4 linked regions of the Nothobranchius furzeri genome follow. The protein of the gene in region 3 interacts with the protein of the main gene of each other region in a biochemical or structural test. Links are inferred from orthologs where the notes say so. Each region holds a gene or a part of one and is shown on either strand. Other genes may lie near its edges.

Region 1 (4,304 bases), on a different chromosome or scaffold from region 3:
GGTCTCCAGGCATAGCCGATACTCAAGAGCCAGTAAGAGTATACTACATGGTCATTATTCATTCCTCATCTGTGTGTGTGTGTGTGTGTGTGTGTGTGCACGTGCGTGTCTGTGTGTGTGTGTGTGTGTGTGTGTGTGTGTGTGTGTGTGTGTGTGTGTGTGTGTGTGTGTGTGACGACCAAATAGGTCACCTGACTTTCATGGTTCTGATTACTGTTTAAGGTTCTTGGATGAGGTTTAAGTCCTGAACTCCTGACCCAGGATCAGAGCTGAAGAACATCTTAAAGGAACAGGAGAAGAAGTCCTGTTTTGTTTCTTCATCCTACCTCATCAGAGTTTTATTTCCGCTCTGAACTCCATGCAGATGAAAACATTTCTGAGTCAAAGTCATGGTTTGTTTCATCAACCTGCCACTTTACCTTCCTGTGATGTGACTTAGTGAGGGTTTGGCACCAACAGCAACTTGAAACAGGAAAGAGTCTTTTGGCTCTTTGGTGCAAAACCTGCAGCAAAAGTTAAGCATGACTAATGGTGAATGAATGGAGCCCATTTGGTCAGCCATGACATGTTAAAATATTTAAAAAACAAGAATCTAAACTTCTCTCTAATCTGTAGACTCATGACTTTATGAAAGGTTTAATGCATCTTTTTCCATATAATCATCTGAGGAAGGAGGTCAGATGTGAGGGTTGCTTTTCTCTACTGAATTATCAGAGGCTTCACTCAAGCTAATGATTAGTCCTAATTTTAATCTGAGTTTTGGGGTCTTCAGATCAAACCTCAACAGATGTCTACGTGTTCTCCAGCTTGGGACTCACCTTCAGGGCTTCATCTCATTGTGTTTTATAAAGTAACTGGAGCCTCAGTCTCCTTCATCTGGCCTTAGAATAGGAAACATCCAGCTGCTGCAGCTCTTCAGAGCCACACAGATGTGTGTGTGTGTGTGTGTGTGTGTGTGTGTGTGTGTGTGTGGGGCAGCAGTAGCTCAACAGGTTGAGCGGGTTTTCCAGTAGTCGGAAGGTTGCAGGTTCGATCCCGGCTCCGGACAGAGAATTCTGCTGTTGTGTCCTTGGGCAAGACACTTAACCCAGCTTGCCTGCTGGCGGTGGTCGGAGGGACCAGTGCTCGGCAGCCTCAACTCTGTCAGTGTGCCCCAGAGCAGCTGTGGCTACATCGTAGCTCATCACCATCAGTGTGTGAATGGAAGAATGATACACTGTAAAGCGCTTTGGAGTCCTTACTCTGGCGGGCGCTATACAAAAGTGGGTCATTTATCATTTATCATAATTTGTGTGTGTGTGTGTGTGTGTGTGTGTGTGTGTGTGTGTGTGTGTGTGTGTGTGTGTGTGTGTGTGTGTGTGTGTGTGTAAAAGAGGGAGGAAGATGTGGGCTGAATTATCACTGTTAAATGAGTTGGGACAGAATGACATCACGGCGTAATTAAAGCCGCTCTCTGGAATTCCTGCTCAGGTCTGCTGCAGGATTCTGGAGCACCTGCGGGTTGTTGTGTGTGAGTGAAATATTTTCACTGGACAGAGTTCAAGCTTTGGAGGGAAAGAGAAAAAACGGAGGCAACCGCATTACGCCATACTCTCCTCACATGGAAAAAAGAAGTGGGATTTAAAGAAGTTGTTACATGGTACCAAGCAGAACAGTTCGCTGGAGAGCAGAAGACGGGTCCAGGTCTCAGAGTCTCACCTGTCCACCATCAGCAGTATGGTTCTGACACCTGACCCTGACCAAATGACTCTTTTAACCCTGTGAGAGTCAGACCCCGTTTCTCTAGCGTTTGGGAGCGAGACGCGCATTTTGGACCTCACGGGTCTGAGGATGAGAAAGGTCACTGAACTTCCCGCGCTCCTGGTGTCGGCTCAGCGGGTCAGATCGTTCTGAAGAGATTTATAGACGATGTGCCAAAAGGCTGCAGAGATTTAGGATGAGAGTGAAGAATCTTCCCCTTCTGCTCAGCTGGACGATAGTCTTCCTGCATCCCGTCCGCGGTTCGCTCAGCAGAACCAGAACCACCTTGGAGCGAACGGGAGGAACCGCTGGCTCTTGGAAACCAGCTCCTCGTGTGCGCGTGAGTGCGCTGCCGACCACAGGTGAGACGAATTTTGCCAGTCAGAAACCAGCGGGGATCTCCGCTGCACCGGGGAGGCTGGACCAGCCGCAGCAGGACGGAGCGCAAAGATCCGCGTGCAGAGAGGCTGTGTGCTCCTGGCGTCCCGCCGCTAAGGCACGTGTTGAAGCGCACGCGCCCGCAGCTGTTAACGCAAATGCTGCCAGGAAAGGAACTGAGACGTTTGGAGGAGGTGGCTCACCGGGGAAAGCCGCTTCCAGGGCGGGCGCAGCAGCCGCCGCTGCGCGCAGCGGGTATGAGCAAAAACAGAGCGCGGCTGTGGAGCGGGGCGTCAGCATCAAGTCACCGAAACCAGGCGCCAGGCAGCCGGTGGTGACCCCTCACGACTACATGCTGTCTCTGTACTGGTCACTGAGCAGCGGAGACGTGAACAGCAGCGCGGCTCTGGCCAACACCATCACCAGCTTTGTGGACAAGGGACAAGGTAACTGTCTCTGTCCTCTATAACGAAGACTATAGGCTTTCAAAGGAACAGAAAGAAAGAAAGAAAGAAAGAAAGAAAGAAAGAAAGAAAGAAAGAAAGAAATGAAAAACTGAATAACTTTCCTAGGATTTGGATCCAGTTCTGGGATCAGATGGTTTGGAAGCAGCAGAATGTTCTGTCGGTCATGTTTCAGTTGTAGGGAAACATCACTGCTGCTGCTCACACACAAACCTTACTTAAAACCAACCATTTAGTTCTGAGTGAAGATTTGGTGAAGGAGGGCTCTGTAGACCTCCACAGATCTAGGATCAGTAGGAGAAAGAACAGGATCTGAAGGGAAGGCCTGTGATTGGTTTAGCTCATACTGGAATAAAAGATATTTTAGTGTTTGCATTGAAAACTGTTCTTCTCGACCTCTAGGGTCCCCCAGGGTTCAGTTTTGGGTCCTTAGCTTTTCTCGATCTACATACTTCCTCCAGGCATCATTCTAAAAAAACTTAGTAAACTATCACATTTAATGCCTGGCAAGCCCGACTAAATAATATATTATTAAGTCCGGCAACACTCCATCGATGGCTCTCGGGCTCTACAGTTGCCTTTCAAACGATCTCCCGCACGCTACTGGACAATGAACAACGTGGCATACTCACCACAACGGATGTCGATAAACGAGGTTGTAGAAGGTAAAAATACATCCTTTTTCTAAATAAACAACTTAAAAACGTGTATCTGCTCCTGGTTCAATAAAGCCCAAGTCCCAATAGTCCAGAATTAATGTAAAACCCATTTAAAATGAGCGGTCGCCATTTTTTTCCACTCTTGCATCATCCCGCCCACCAGACAAACAGAGGTCCGTGATTGGTCCACAAAGCAGATAGGTCACTGTGACCGGCCCACCATTGTGGACCAATCACAGCGCTCTATCAGTTTGAAACCCCTCTAGAGAGCTGTGATTGGCCAGCCAGAATGCTGCTAGGGGCTGCAGAGGTTCTAGTGGAGCGTTCCTAGACCAAAGTTTGGTCTAGTTCACTAGACTAGTTCTGGGCTAGTTCACTAGGCTACACATGTATGCAGATGACTGACTACTACTATGTCAGCCCAAGCTCTCCTGCAGTCTGTGTTCAGGATCGTTCCTCTGTAATTAAAACCTGTTTTTCCTCTAATTACCTTCATCTAAATGAGGACAAAACCAATGCTATTGTAATAAAAGTAGCCGTGGGCAGCACGGGCAGAATATCTTGCCCTCCGGTCAGAACCTGAACACACCACCAGTAGGCAACGACTTATAAAAGACACACTTTATTGCACAACCAATAATAAAACACAACGATAAAACACCATGGCCCAAGCCCTCTCTTGTAAAACCAACTGTCCAGCATGAGTCACGTAAGCAGCGGTACTTAGCTGTCACGGATGGTGTGACCCCCGTCCCCGGGGTCTGAGCTTCCAACGCCGTCCAACGCCCCGGGGTGTAGCTTGCGAGGACGGCGGGTAAATCCACAACATAAGTCCACTGCCAGAGTCCGTAGCGGCAGATGTCGGCGCGGCCTTGGCATCACCTATGCCCAGCCCTAACTGTCTAAAGAAGGCGACCAGCCTTCCCTCCTGGCGCTGGAACACTAAACACCTGTTCAGCTATCTTCGTCGCCGGCAGCCCTACCCGGCTGCGAACGACCCCTCCCCCCAAAGTCCGATGCCACAATGACAGGTCGACCACGCACCCCTCTCAGCAGACCTGTC
Region 2 (4,239 bases), on a different chromosome or scaffold from region 3:
GTCAAAAGCACGCGAACCACAGATTTCCACAGCTTTATTTTTGTGCCACTCGCCAAAACAAAAGATAGATGCTAATATTGGATCGGCCATCTCTGGCAGCTGCGTCCTGTGCTACGGTGGAAAGGCTCTATTTGACTCGAGTTATTCCTGAAAACCAATTGTCCGAGCGAAAGGAGCATGGCGTGGCAGACGTGACGAAGGCTTGGAGCTGTTTGCTTTGATGTGCTGCATTAACATCTGTAGATCCGTGCTTATTACAGGGGGAACAATCCCTCGACGCGATACGGGAAGCCTAATAACCGCGCGGCTGTTAGCATAGGACGAAAAGAGCCAGGAGAAGACGTGTAAATGTCAACGTGTGTTGGCTGAGTGCAGAGGTTTCCAGCGGTGAGCTGGGAGCAGTCACTCAACCCTGCTGCTCAGGGTTGTTTGTAGTGTGTCAGTGTAGCCACTTGGTGTCATTGCACTAGGCCTTTGGAGAGCACCCAAGCAACCACTCAACCACCCCTCTGACTCACCCCTGATGGAAAGAAACTTCTCCACTCAAACACAGGACTCTGTATGAGGACTCTGCGCAGGGCCCCAATGGACCCAGCAACGTGGGTCACATTAAGATAAATAGATGTGCAAATCTACTATACCGGGAATAAGATGTTTATTATACAAAAACGTAAACATCGAGTGCTCCTGCTTTTAAAGCTGTTATAAACAAAGCATCATTTACTTTGTTAAAATACTGTTTAAATCCACATTTTAACAGCTGATCCAGAGTCTGCAAAACGTTTATTTTCATCCGAGAGGTGAATGAGTCATGTTTAAATATAGGTTTTTAAATTCAACTGAACTGAGACTTGTAGTTCAACTATCGCTGTCTTCTCCAAACTGGTTCACGCGTAATGATGCACAACTGGAAGCAACAGGAAGAAGGGAAGCCACGCCTCCTCTACGGCGTTACCAAGAGCTAATTTGAGTCTTGTTAAAGGTGACTCAGTCTGACACGGTGACTTCGTCATCGTGTGTGTTGCTCTGATGTCGGTTGTTTTTTGAAGTTGCAGGGTGACGTCTATCACCTGCGCACAGGCGCACCGCCCTTTATGCTGCTCCCGTGGTGCGTGTCTGGAAAAACAGTTTTCAGAATCCCACGCAAACACCATCAATTATTAAGAAACTAATGACCCCGGGGATACCGCCGCCCCTGATGTTTCTGAAGCCTGTGACAGCTGTGCTGGAGGGATGTTTGTCTAAATGTTGCACTGCTGCTTAGGTGAGAAAAGTCAACTTTGATGTGATTTTTGTGCATCAATCTTTAAGTTAAAGCATTTTTTAAGGTTGCAAATACCTTCGGAGCATGTCATCTGTAAATGACTAAACCTTCAGAAAACAGGGAAGACTCTGAAGTTCAGTGTTGACGATCTGAGTCATGTTTAAATATAGGTTTGCGCTGTCTGAGAGAGACATGTAAAGGTATGTCACTAATATATACCTTCATGGTGAAAGCTTCTAATCGTGTTGGCCTTGCTGGCGGCTCTCTCTGCGTGCTTCCCCATGCTCTTGGGCCGCTTAGTGCTGTGGTCTCCGTTCGCAGAGTGCATCCGGTAAAGGTCCACCATGTACTGGGGCACCACGGCTTGTTTGCTGGGGGTCGGCCTGCGTCTCAGCCCGAACATGTTGAGAAGCCGCAGCTCGAACTCGTTGAGGAAGCTCTCCGACTGCTCAGGGGTCTGTTTCCCGGATTCGCTGTACTTCCTCCGGCCTACCTCGGGGATGAGTCCCGCAGCACCTTCCAGCAGCACCTGAGCGAGCATCAGTACCATGAGAGAGCGGACCACGGCGACCATGATCAGTCAGTCCCTGTGGAGAAAGTTGGTTTCTGTCAATACACTGGCAGGCAATGTGGTATTGACGTGAGGTGGTCCCAGCTAGGCTCTCGCGGCAGCAGTTCCCAAATCCCCCCTCAGAGCGTAAAACTGAAGGGGAGCAGGTTAAAAAGGGGGAGACACCTCTTCACTTTGAAGTGCAGAAGAAAAAGAAAGAAAGAAAGAAAGAAAGAAAGAAAGAAAGAAAGAAAGAAAGAAAGAAAGAAAAACCCAGAGGCTAAACTGCTCCTCTAGTTTGGGTTGAACATGAACCCTAACATGAAATATCAAGGTGAAAAACTAATGACAGAGGTGGATTAAACAGACAAATCAAAGGATTTGAAGGGAAACGCTGCAGACAAAAGGTCTCCAGCGAGAAGAGATAAGAGATCTTGTTGCAGATATGAAAGTCCATGCAGAGAGAAGGATCAAAGGAAGAACACGCATCAGTTCCAGTCCCACTGCGCGCTGTTTGCATGTAATCATAAAGGATAGTTACTTCAAGAGGCTTGCAGGTGTTAGATCTGACGTGTGCCCCACAGCCAGGCATCAGAAACACAGACGGAGTCAAACAACTTCCACACAGACAACTTTTACCTCTATTTTCATTTTCTGTTTCTCCGTGGCTCAACAGGCGGAGGCTTTACGCACGAATTTATTATTAGAAACAAATGAGCTGTCACTTGTGAAGTGACCTTTCTGTGTTCAGTCCAAGTGCGGATTCAGGTTAAAACCTCCACATCGATGGTTATTCTTTATTCTAGCGATTTACCTGACGAGAACGCGCGGTGTCCGGTCGTCGTTCCACCTTTAAGCTCCGATAAATTCCACATTAATTCGTGTTTAATCCACGCTGCTTCTGCTTGGGGGACCGAAAACAGCCCGCGCCCTCCGCCGATCGCTTCTCGCACATATTCTCACCAGCTGCGCGTCGGGTTCGGGTCTTGCTCAGTCCGGAGAGGAAAGAAAAAAAGTAGAAAAATTAAGTCTACGAGGAAGCGGCTGCGCGCAGGCATAGCCGAACTAAGTGCGAGGAAGCTTGTCTGGACATTTTTAAAATTAGAAAAAAGAAAAGCTGAAAGTGGAGAAACGTGGAGCGTCGCGCGATGTTCGTGGAGAGATGAGCGCAGTGAAGTTGGTGCTCGGAGAGGGAGAGCTCTCCGGAGCGGGTCTATTGATTGGTGCCTTCTCTTTCCCCTGCGACGCTTTTTGTCCTACAGTGATGTCACTGGGCTGTCAGTCATCTGTCCAAACCGCACCACTTCCTGTGCGTAACTCCCGCAGGAGAAAAATCCCTCATTTCTAACTTCACAATGGAAAACTGTTTAAACTTTATTCCTCTCCCCTTCAGCAAACATCTACAAATGTGATTTGGATTAAAATCTGTAACAGGACCACCAAGAACAGGTGGAAGAGCTGGCAGGAGTTTATGAGCTGAGTTTATTACTACAATTTTTAACCAAGTATTTCCCCTCAGAATGTGTACTCAGCATATTTGAAGAAAAAAAAGTACTTTTTGTTTGCTTCTTTTGACAAACAAGTACTTTTGTTTGTTTGTTTTGCCAAAATAGATTCAGTGCATTTGAGATTCAAAAGGTTGCCAATGATCAAAATGCAAAATGTAGTGAGAAAAATGAACTATGTGGGACATTTGCAGTTATTAACAGTTTTTTCCTTTTAGCAAACACAACACGTTATTAAGGAATTACTTAAATCAACCAAATAGAAAGAATAAACAGGCTTCATCATATAATTTTACATTAACCCTTTGATGCATAATGGTCACTATACAGTGGACAGGTATTCAAAATTGTTATTTGTTTATTTTACAGCTGTTGAAGACTTTATTGCAATTGAGCTCCTTCATTTGGACTTCAGTAAGTCAAGCCAACATATTTCGTGTTCAGAATGCACGCTGTCCCCTGAGATGGACATGTAATAAATTATTTGTAAATTAACAAAATACTACAAATAATATTTGCTGAAATTTGTTTCATTCACACCTACAGATGAATGAAAAAAAAGTTTAAAAAATCATGGTTGAAGATTTCATAATTCATGCATCAAAGGGTTAATTTGTAATAAATATGACGAAACCAATTCCTTTCAACCTCTTAATTTCCTGTTATATGAACAAAATATCATTTTTTATCACTTTTAAAGGACAGTTGTGTTAATTAACTATCAAGTTTCTAAATGATCAAACTTGAGGTTTGTTGCCACGGATAAGAAAAAAAATCAATTCATTTGAAAAATGTAAACCCTAAACTGCTTTTAACCTGTTAAACCTGCAGCTCTTCCCAGCTGACGTCATCCGTCCAATATGGCGCACCTGTTGACATTTCTTTGCCATTACCTGAAACCCCTTCAACGGAAGGTCTAA
Region 3 (3,787 bases):
ACCCTGATTTACAAATAAATTCTTTAAAAATCCTGCCATGTGAATTCATGGATTTTTTTTCACATTCTGTCTCTCACAGTTGAAGTGTACCTATGATGTAAATTACTGACCTCTGTCATCATTTTAAGTGGGAGAACTTGCACAATCGGTGGCTGACTAAATACTTTTATGCCCCACTGTAATAAGATTATTAACGGTGCCTGATGGGGTTCTGCTGTGTGGAGGAGTTGTTACTGCTAACGGTTAGCTTCTACTGGCCGAGACGTTCTCTACTGTTTCCTGGACGCTAAAACAACAACAGCCTTCCCCGTTGTGGGTCAAGATGGGTGAGTCCACGAATGTTAAGTGACAGTGTGATGTAGATATGTCAGGATTTTCAAATCCTAGCTTCACCGTCTATTTCCAGAAGTAATTGCAGGAGATAGGTGTAGGAGACTATTTTCATGTTTGCACAAAAAGCTCAGAGTGATCGATTATAATCAGATATAATCCTTAAATAACGGGTTTTCATTGAAGTGCCACTTTACAACAAGAAACCAATAATAAAACCCAAATCTGAAAAGAAAATCCTTTTTTCTTTTTACCTCCAGAGATGCACCGTCGGGTCATTTCCCAAAGAATTAAACCAAAGCTGTACATGTCGGCCATTATGAAGGACTGGAAGGTGCTTCTGTTCAGTGTCTCATCCAACACTTCAGGTGGCATGTAGCGTTTAGTACCAACTCGTAGATTAGGAGGGATATCCACTTTGTTGGTGTCACTGAGACAGAACATAAATACACTTCATGCATATTTTGCCAGTTATGCTCCTGCAGTTTTAAAGGAGAGTGTTTTACCTGTTAAACTTGACGGCGAGTCCCATATCTGCAATACAACAGAATCCATTCTTTTTAACCAGGATGTTTTTGCTCTTCAGGTCTCGGTGGGCGATGGCGGGTTTACCCTGTGTGCCGTAGATCTCCGTGTGCAGGTGACAGAGCCCAGAAATGGACGAGTACGCTAGTTTCAGCAGAGCTTTTATGTCTAAGGTGTTGGACTTGAGGTGGTCATATAAGGATCCGTTCTCATGATAGTCTGTGATCAGGTAGAGCTGAGTCCACGAGCCAGTTCCTTTAATATCAGCTGCTATGAAGCCTGGAGATGACACAAAACAGATGAAAAAACGTTAATTATTCCTGAAAGTCCCATAAGGACAGAATCCTGGAACGGTTGGGAATGCTAACCACCTTACCCAGGATGTTGTCGTGCCTCATCAGAAACGTCTGATAAATTTCTGTCTCTCTGAACCAGCTCTCCTCCTCGGTAGTGAAGAAGACTTTGACGGCCACTCTCTCTTCTCTCCATTTGCCCATCCAGACTTCTCCGTATCGCCCTTTCCCGATCTGCTTAACCATCTGAATCTGCTTGGCAATGGTGCGCTGAACCTGGTAAAACATTGATTACAAAAAAAATTAGTCCCAATGTTAACTTCTTAATTCCCTAAAAAGGATTTTAGAAATTTCCATCTCAAGTGGTCTGGAGAAAAAGACATGCATGTTTTTTTGTTTTTACCAGCAGAGGGAGTCCTGACCCAGACCCAGATCCAATGCTGCGGGAATGCTCAATCAGGTCCTTTAGTGAGTCCCCTGGAGGAATGAAGGTCTCATCCTGCTCAAGATCAATGCTGTAGGGGGGTTGTGACGTCTGACGTTTATATCTGACACAGAAAGGTGAGGAAGGGATTATTTCATGAGCACCACGTGAATATTTATTGATGAGTGATGTGAAGGAGACACTGTTCATACCTGAAGTAGCAGAAGACAAGAATGACAGCAAGGACGCTGCAAGCTGTGAGTGAGATAAAGAGAGCTATGTACTGGATGTTGCTGTCCACATATTCTGAAAGAAAGAAGAAAGGATGGCATGAATGTGACTTCATATAAAAATACACACACACTTGTCCTGGTGTCAGTAGAAGACGGGATTAATAATCTCCTCCTCTTCGATTCCCCTAGTTCTGACCCAAAACCCCTGCTTTCACAGCGCGTTATTGATCGCATCCCGTTCCTGGATCCCACAGATCAGGTGTCACGGTGACATCGCTGCAGAATCCCCAGAGGCCTGCAGCACCTCTGGTGCTCTAGCTTTTCTGCCTCGGCCACGTCAGTCAGACACACACGGACTCAGGCGGCTGAAGATGGATCATAAGAGGACCGTGGAAAACACGGAAAAACGTCTTCGATAAATCCAAACTACCGGTTGTAAGCAAGTTAATAAATGGCGCCTTCTGCTGTTGGGTTGTTCTTGCAGACATTGTTTATGGTAAAGCTGACAACAGCCAGAGTTTTTAGTTCTACTGAGACAAAAACAACAAAACTGATCCCATTTTGGTGATTAAGTTTGTAAAATAACTGATGGAAAAGATGGCTAGATCAGCGATTTGGCTAATCAGGCTTTCAAAATTCACATAAACATGAAAATTAAAGTTTTATGTTTGCATCTTAGTCTGGGTAACAGAACGAGAAAGTGTGTGTGCATGCGTGTGTGTGTGTGTGTTGGTTTGTTGTGGAGTGACAGATGGACATATTTCTCGCATCCATCCTGAGACAAGAAACTCAAGCAGGCCCTGGGGAGAGGCTGTCCTTTTCATTATGGAGTGAGAAAACAAGCCAAGTCTGCAAGTCTCCGTTTGACCTGCCTCCCTCTCTTTGCTCCTCCTGAGCAGCAGGAGGAGGCTGCACCACTCTGCGGTTTGTAACCATTTAAAATGCCACTAAACCATCACTGGCCCAGCGTGGCCGGGACGAGCCCACTTTAAAAACCACTTGGATTTGAATGTGTGTGAGAACCAGTGTGAACAAAACTACCTGAAGTCACGAGTGGAGGAAGCGTGGGATGCAGGCTTCTGTTGCAGTAGTCCCGATCCGTGCAACACTCCATAACGATCCGCAAGCGTGCGTTCAGCATGTCCTTTCAAACAAACATAAAAACCAGGAAACTCTTTTATAAATGTCACTGATGAAGACATCGGAGTAATACGTATTTATTGCAGCTGTAAAACTCTTCAGTAAGGCTTTAACACCATGTGGGGACAAGGTAGTCAGGAGAAGTCAGTTTTAAACGAGGCTAATAAAGAGCCAAAGTGAGTCAAGGGCAGGTCTGAAGAACTCCACATGAAGGAGGAGACATGAGACGAGTACCGGCAGTCATCAAGGCATAAATGTGCACATAAGACAGACTTACTCTGCACTGGAACTCTGAGCCGACCAGAGGTAAACATCCTGCAGAAAAAACAGCGTGACCTCCCTCCTTCTCCGTAACCATGGTGAAGCAGAAACCCCGGGTCCTACCAAAACGCACAAAAATACTGTATGAATCATTATGTCTCAAGCACATCTGACCCGATAAATGCTTAGGACAAAACAAAAAACTGTTTTTGTAGCTAAACCAACTCTAAATGTACTTGAATAAAAACTTTGGTTTCATTTTTAAATATAATTAAATGTTCATCTGGTAGAAATAGATACGGGCGATTTGTTAGAGTAAATTTTTATCTGTGAACAAGTTTAAATTAAGGCTCTAACTAGATCAGCATTTTATTACCTTCATCAAATGCACCAGGGGTCTCATGTCCAGACAAGAGGGAAACTAATTCATGCGTTCATCTACAGCAGGCTGGGCCATTGCAATGGTCTTCCCAAAAAAAAAAAAAAAGCTGTGAAGCAGCTGCAGCTTAATCAGAATGCCGCTGCTCTTAACAAGGACCAAGAGAACCGAGCACATCACTCCTGTTCTTAAATCTCTACAC
Region 4 (3,803 bases), on a different chromosome or scaffold from region 3:
AAATGTTTCATTGCCATCTGAAGTGTAATACTTGGATATTTGTGTGCAGAGGAATCAAATAGTGAATGTTGCTCAACTGAGTCCCTCTGTGAGAAAACCAAAGGCAGATTGACAACAATGTGTTTACCGGCGATGTTAGCCATTCGGAGTGTCACTTGGCTCTTTGCCCCTTTGGATTGGCTGGGGTTTCGTTGTTTGGATCCTCCCAACGCAGAGCGGATGCTTCGCAGGTGCACCTCCGTTGCTTTGAAGAAGGCCACCATGAAGGGCTGTTTATTCTGAGGTCCACTGCGACCAATCAGCCCTGCCACACGAAGACTGATACTCTCTCCTGAAGGGTGGGGGAGAGAAAACACAACAGGTCAGAGGAATAAAGCATCAAGAGGGCAGAGAAGGGCAACAAAAATCACTTTTCCCAACTTAACTTTTAAAAATGAGCTTTATTTTAGTAAATCCTCATCCTTTTCCCCCTTCACCCTTTCTCCTTCATCATGTCTGGTGACAGGCTGTCCCTTAAGCTTGTCTGAACATGCTACTCCATAAAGCTCCAAACCTACAATCACACACTGACAAACATCCACAACGTAGCCTGAAAGCAGCATCTGTTTCCCTCACCAACATGTAACATCCTGCCATCCTGTGAAACACGCTTGTACTGCCTGGTGTTTTGCTGATAAAGTTGATCACCAACAAACGTTTGTGCCTTTTGAGATAGTGCAGCGTATTTACTGCATACCTGCTAAATGATGCTGAGGGTAGGTCAGATGAGGATAGTGGTGGTGAGAAACAGGGTTTGGTGTTTCTCATCAGAGAACAAATTACCTGATTTCATTGGTTTCATAGCAGCTCGGTTGCAGACTCGAGTGTTTTAATGCCAGCTCTCGTGTTTTTTTTTTACTGCTCTGTGGGAAATGCAGCATTTGGGTTTGTTTAGATTCTAATCCAGATGGAACAGTTTAGAAATACTTATTCCAAACACATTTTACGATGTACTTTGTGGTCATTACTTTGATTGAATTATATTCATAGTTCTGTCCAAACATGCAGAATCCAGCAGCGCTTGTGTTGTTTTAGGTGTTTACAAGAACATTTGAATAACAATATAATAACAAATGCAGGTTTATTGTGCTTTAGGTCAGGAGGATTTCATGGGAAGGAAATGTGAAGAGGTCTTCGCCTTGATTTATTTTATTTGTTTCATATTTTATACTGACTGGCAACTATTATTAACTGGATGCATGTGCATTATTGTTTTATAAATAAAATTATGCCTAGAGATACATGGGGTAAGTCACAGCGGGTGTTATTATTATTTTTTCCCCTCTCTCTTAGTTTGTTATGGTTTATCGACGTTGCCTTCTTATTCTTTACTTGTTGTATGGTAGGAGGACCTGCTCGAAAACGAGATGCCACATCTCAAGCAGTTTATCCTCCTGGGAAGAAAAATATAAGTAAAATAAATAAAAATAAATAAATAAAATTACTATTTAGATAAATGTTTCTTTTATGATTTCTGACATGTATATATATATATATATATATATATATATATATATATATATATATATATATATATATATACATTTTTTGTCCTATTTTAGGGTTTTCTCCTTTATATGTGTGTTGTATTTTATTGCAGAATAAGTCTTAGCCTGTTTCTGGTTGCATAAATGAAGACAAATAAACATGAGTATACTGCAAATTAATTCAACATCATTAAGCATAACACAAAATCTAAAATGTGTGTGTGTGTGTGTGTGTGTGTGTGTGTGTGTGTGTGTGTGTGTGTGTGTGTGTGTGTGTGTGTGTGTGTGTGTGTGTGTGTGTGTGTGTGTTTTGTGACATGAGGGAATTTACTGGCAAGAATGCCCCCTTACCATTTGTGCTCTCCAGAGCCAGCTGCAGACCCAGGTTTCTGCCAGGGTTCAGGACCCAATGATTACTGGTCGCTGTCACGTCGAACACCAACCAGCCCTCCTCTGCTGCCCAGATAACTCTGGAGTCCAGCAGAAAGAGGTCTGACTCCCTGCAGGGAAAACATATTCCTAGTTAGAACATGCATGCAACAAAAAAGCCAGTTATCGAGACTGGAGCACAGAGCCATAGACAGGAGGGAGAGAGAACCAGAGGAGTGTGACGAAGTGAAACAAAGAGAGTGATGAGAGGCAAGTAGGGAGGGCACCAGATGGTGAGGCCCAGGGGAGCACTTCATTTTCTTAATTGACAATAATAGCTTTATAAACGAGCGGTCCTTTCATATGCTGCACACAGTCCATCACTCACTGGAATTCTGAGGGCGAACCAGAAAGACAAAATGAGAGCTGTGTTTTCTCACAGCTGTGAGAAAACAAAAGAAAACTGTGTGGAAATGAGTGAGGAAATAGTGCATATCCAAGTGAACTTTGGGTTTTCTAATCTCTCACAGTTTCAAACTAAAATCCCTTGTTCTTTATGCAGCCGTTCGTGTATCCCGACCCATTTTCTGACTGAGCAGATAGTGTGTCACAGAGCCCTGGTCCATTCATGTCCCCGGCATGTCCCCGGCAGAGGAATAAATGATTGTGTTGTTCCCCGCAGACAACTGAACCTTAAGGACAGACCGGGGACTTGGTTTCTATCTGAGTCATGCACCTTGTGGTCCAGATGAACCACAAGGATTTAAATGCTGATTTTCAAACATCTGCAGGTAAATGATGTTCCTCCTTGATTAGTTTTGTCTGATCTGGAAGAAAACGCCAAATGATCAAAACTTCTAAATTACACATGTGTACTGAAATCTGGATTTTGACAGCATGAAGCTAAAAGTTCAGTTTATTCCGACCTCTGAAGAAGCCTGGTTGTTTTATAATTGTTCCAGCAGTTCTGCAAGAGTCAAAGAAGTGTATTTTAAAAAATAGCTCCATGGTTTTTCTGTCAGTTAATATAAAGCTGTTTAGTTTTATTTCATCCTTTTTTCATCATTTCTCTGATGACGTTTCCTCAGACACAGCAAAGTCAAAGAAAGTCATCAGATCGAAACATCATTAGAGTCACTTCATTCTGAGTGGAAAAATTCTTTGTTCATCGGGAGTAATTTCACTTTAATCCAAAGTCCTCATCACCAAAACCTGCTGGTCTTGATTGAAGTCATTTAATCAGGTAAAATGGTTACTGTTCCTCACCTGTCGCTGTGCTCCTCCAGCACCTGGTAGATGCTGATGCGAAAAGTCTCGTTGTCATAGCGCTCATGGATGAAGTCCTTATAGATGCGAAACTCGGCGGCAGTAACCGCCTCGCCCTCTGGGATCCGTGACAGATCGAATCTAAACTCTCGATGATGCCGCCGCACTGGCAGGAACTCCTTATCGTGCTCCACTGGAAAAAAAATAATAAGAACATAGAATTAATTCTACGTGAACAGCTTTCCCGCCATCTTAAAGAGGGCAGCACATAGATCTGCGTGAGTTCATAGAGAGTTTAAAAGCTTTTTTGTGGTATTGAGTTGCAACCTCCAGGGAAAAAAAACACATGTTTGTAAAGTTGGTGGATACGTGTTTTCCTCCTTCATTTTTGTATTGATTCTTCCCCGTAGGCTGCACAACATAGGTTGAGGGACCTGATGCAGCTTGTCAAGCTCTGACCCCTGACCCTGATTAGACACGTCTGTAGATATAAAGTACACATGTTGGCTTTTGGTAGAAACATTCATAGTAGCATTCAAAGCAATGCATCTGGCACACACTGAGTCATGATAAAGAGATGCAGGCAGACTGTGACAGCTTTATGAGCCCATTTCTTCCCTCTTTCTTCCTTTCATAGCCCCA

What was found.
Region 1: the proteins of bmpr1bb (region 3) and gdf5 interact in a biophysical measurement, tested with the Homo sapiens proteins (3 studies listed by BioGRID and IntAct, with this or other methods). The link is inferred for Nothobranchius furzeri from reciprocal best matches to the Homo sapiens genes BMPR1B and GDF5.
Region 2: the proteins of bmpr1bb (region 3) and bmp2b form a complex in vitro, tested with the Homo sapiens proteins (3 studies listed by BioGRID and IntAct, with this or other methods). The link is inferred for Nothobranchius furzeri from reciprocal best matches to the Homo sapiens genes BMPR1B and BMP2.
Region 4: the proteins of bmpr1bb (region 3) and bmp7b form a complex in vitro, tested with the Homo sapiens proteins (2 studies listed by BioGRID). The link is inferred for Nothobranchius furzeri from reciprocal best matches to the Homo sapiens genes BMPR1B and BMP7.

The regions. Positions count from the first base shown.
Region 1 is NC_091743.1:78,134,691-78,138,994, reverse strand, and holds the start of gdf5 (growth/differentiation factor 5), read left to right. Parts: upstream 1-1,392; 5' UTR 1,393-1,936; coding exon 1,937-2,564; intron 2,565-4,304. UniProt on the Homo sapiens protein: Growth factor involved in bone and cartilage formation. During cartilage development regulates differentiation of chondrogenic tissue through two pathways.
Region 2 is NC_091742.1:22,693,115-22,697,353, forward strand, and holds the start of bmp2b (bone morphogenetic protein 2b), read right to left. Parts: upstream 2,807-4,239; 5' UTR 2,629-2,806; intron 1,852-2,628; 5' UTR 1,839-1,851; coding exon 1,484-1,838; intron 1-1,483. UniProt on the Homo sapiens protein: Growth factor of the TGF-beta superfamily that plays essential roles in many developmental processes, including cardiogenesis, neurogenesis, and osteogenesis. Induces cartilage and bone formation.
Region 3 is NC_091746.1:52,903,556-52,907,342, reverse strand, and holds part of bmpr1bb (bone morphogenetic protein receptor, type IBb), read right to left. Parts: intron 3,326-3,787; coding exon 3,223-3,325; intron 2,950-3,222; coding exon 2,847-2,949; intron 1,879-2,846; coding exon 1,785-1,878; intron 1,697-1,784; coding exon 1,552-1,696; intron 1,425-1,551; coding exon 1,232-1,424; intron 1,135-1,231; coding exon 837-1,134; intron 761-836; coding exon 585-760; intron 1-584. UniProt on the Homo sapiens protein: On ligand binding, forms a receptor complex consisting of two type II and two type I transmembrane serine/threonine kinases.
Region 4 is NC_091755.1:56,417,738-56,421,540, forward strand, and holds part of bmp7b (bone morphogenetic protein 7b), read right to left. Parts: intron 3,355-3,803; coding exon 3,162-3,354; intron 2,027-3,161; coding exon 1,878-2,026; intron 332-1,877; coding exon 128-331; intron 1-127. UniProt on the Homo sapiens protein: Growth factor of the TGF-beta superfamily that plays important role in various biological processes, including embryogenesis, hematopoiesis, neurogenesis and skeletal morphogenesis.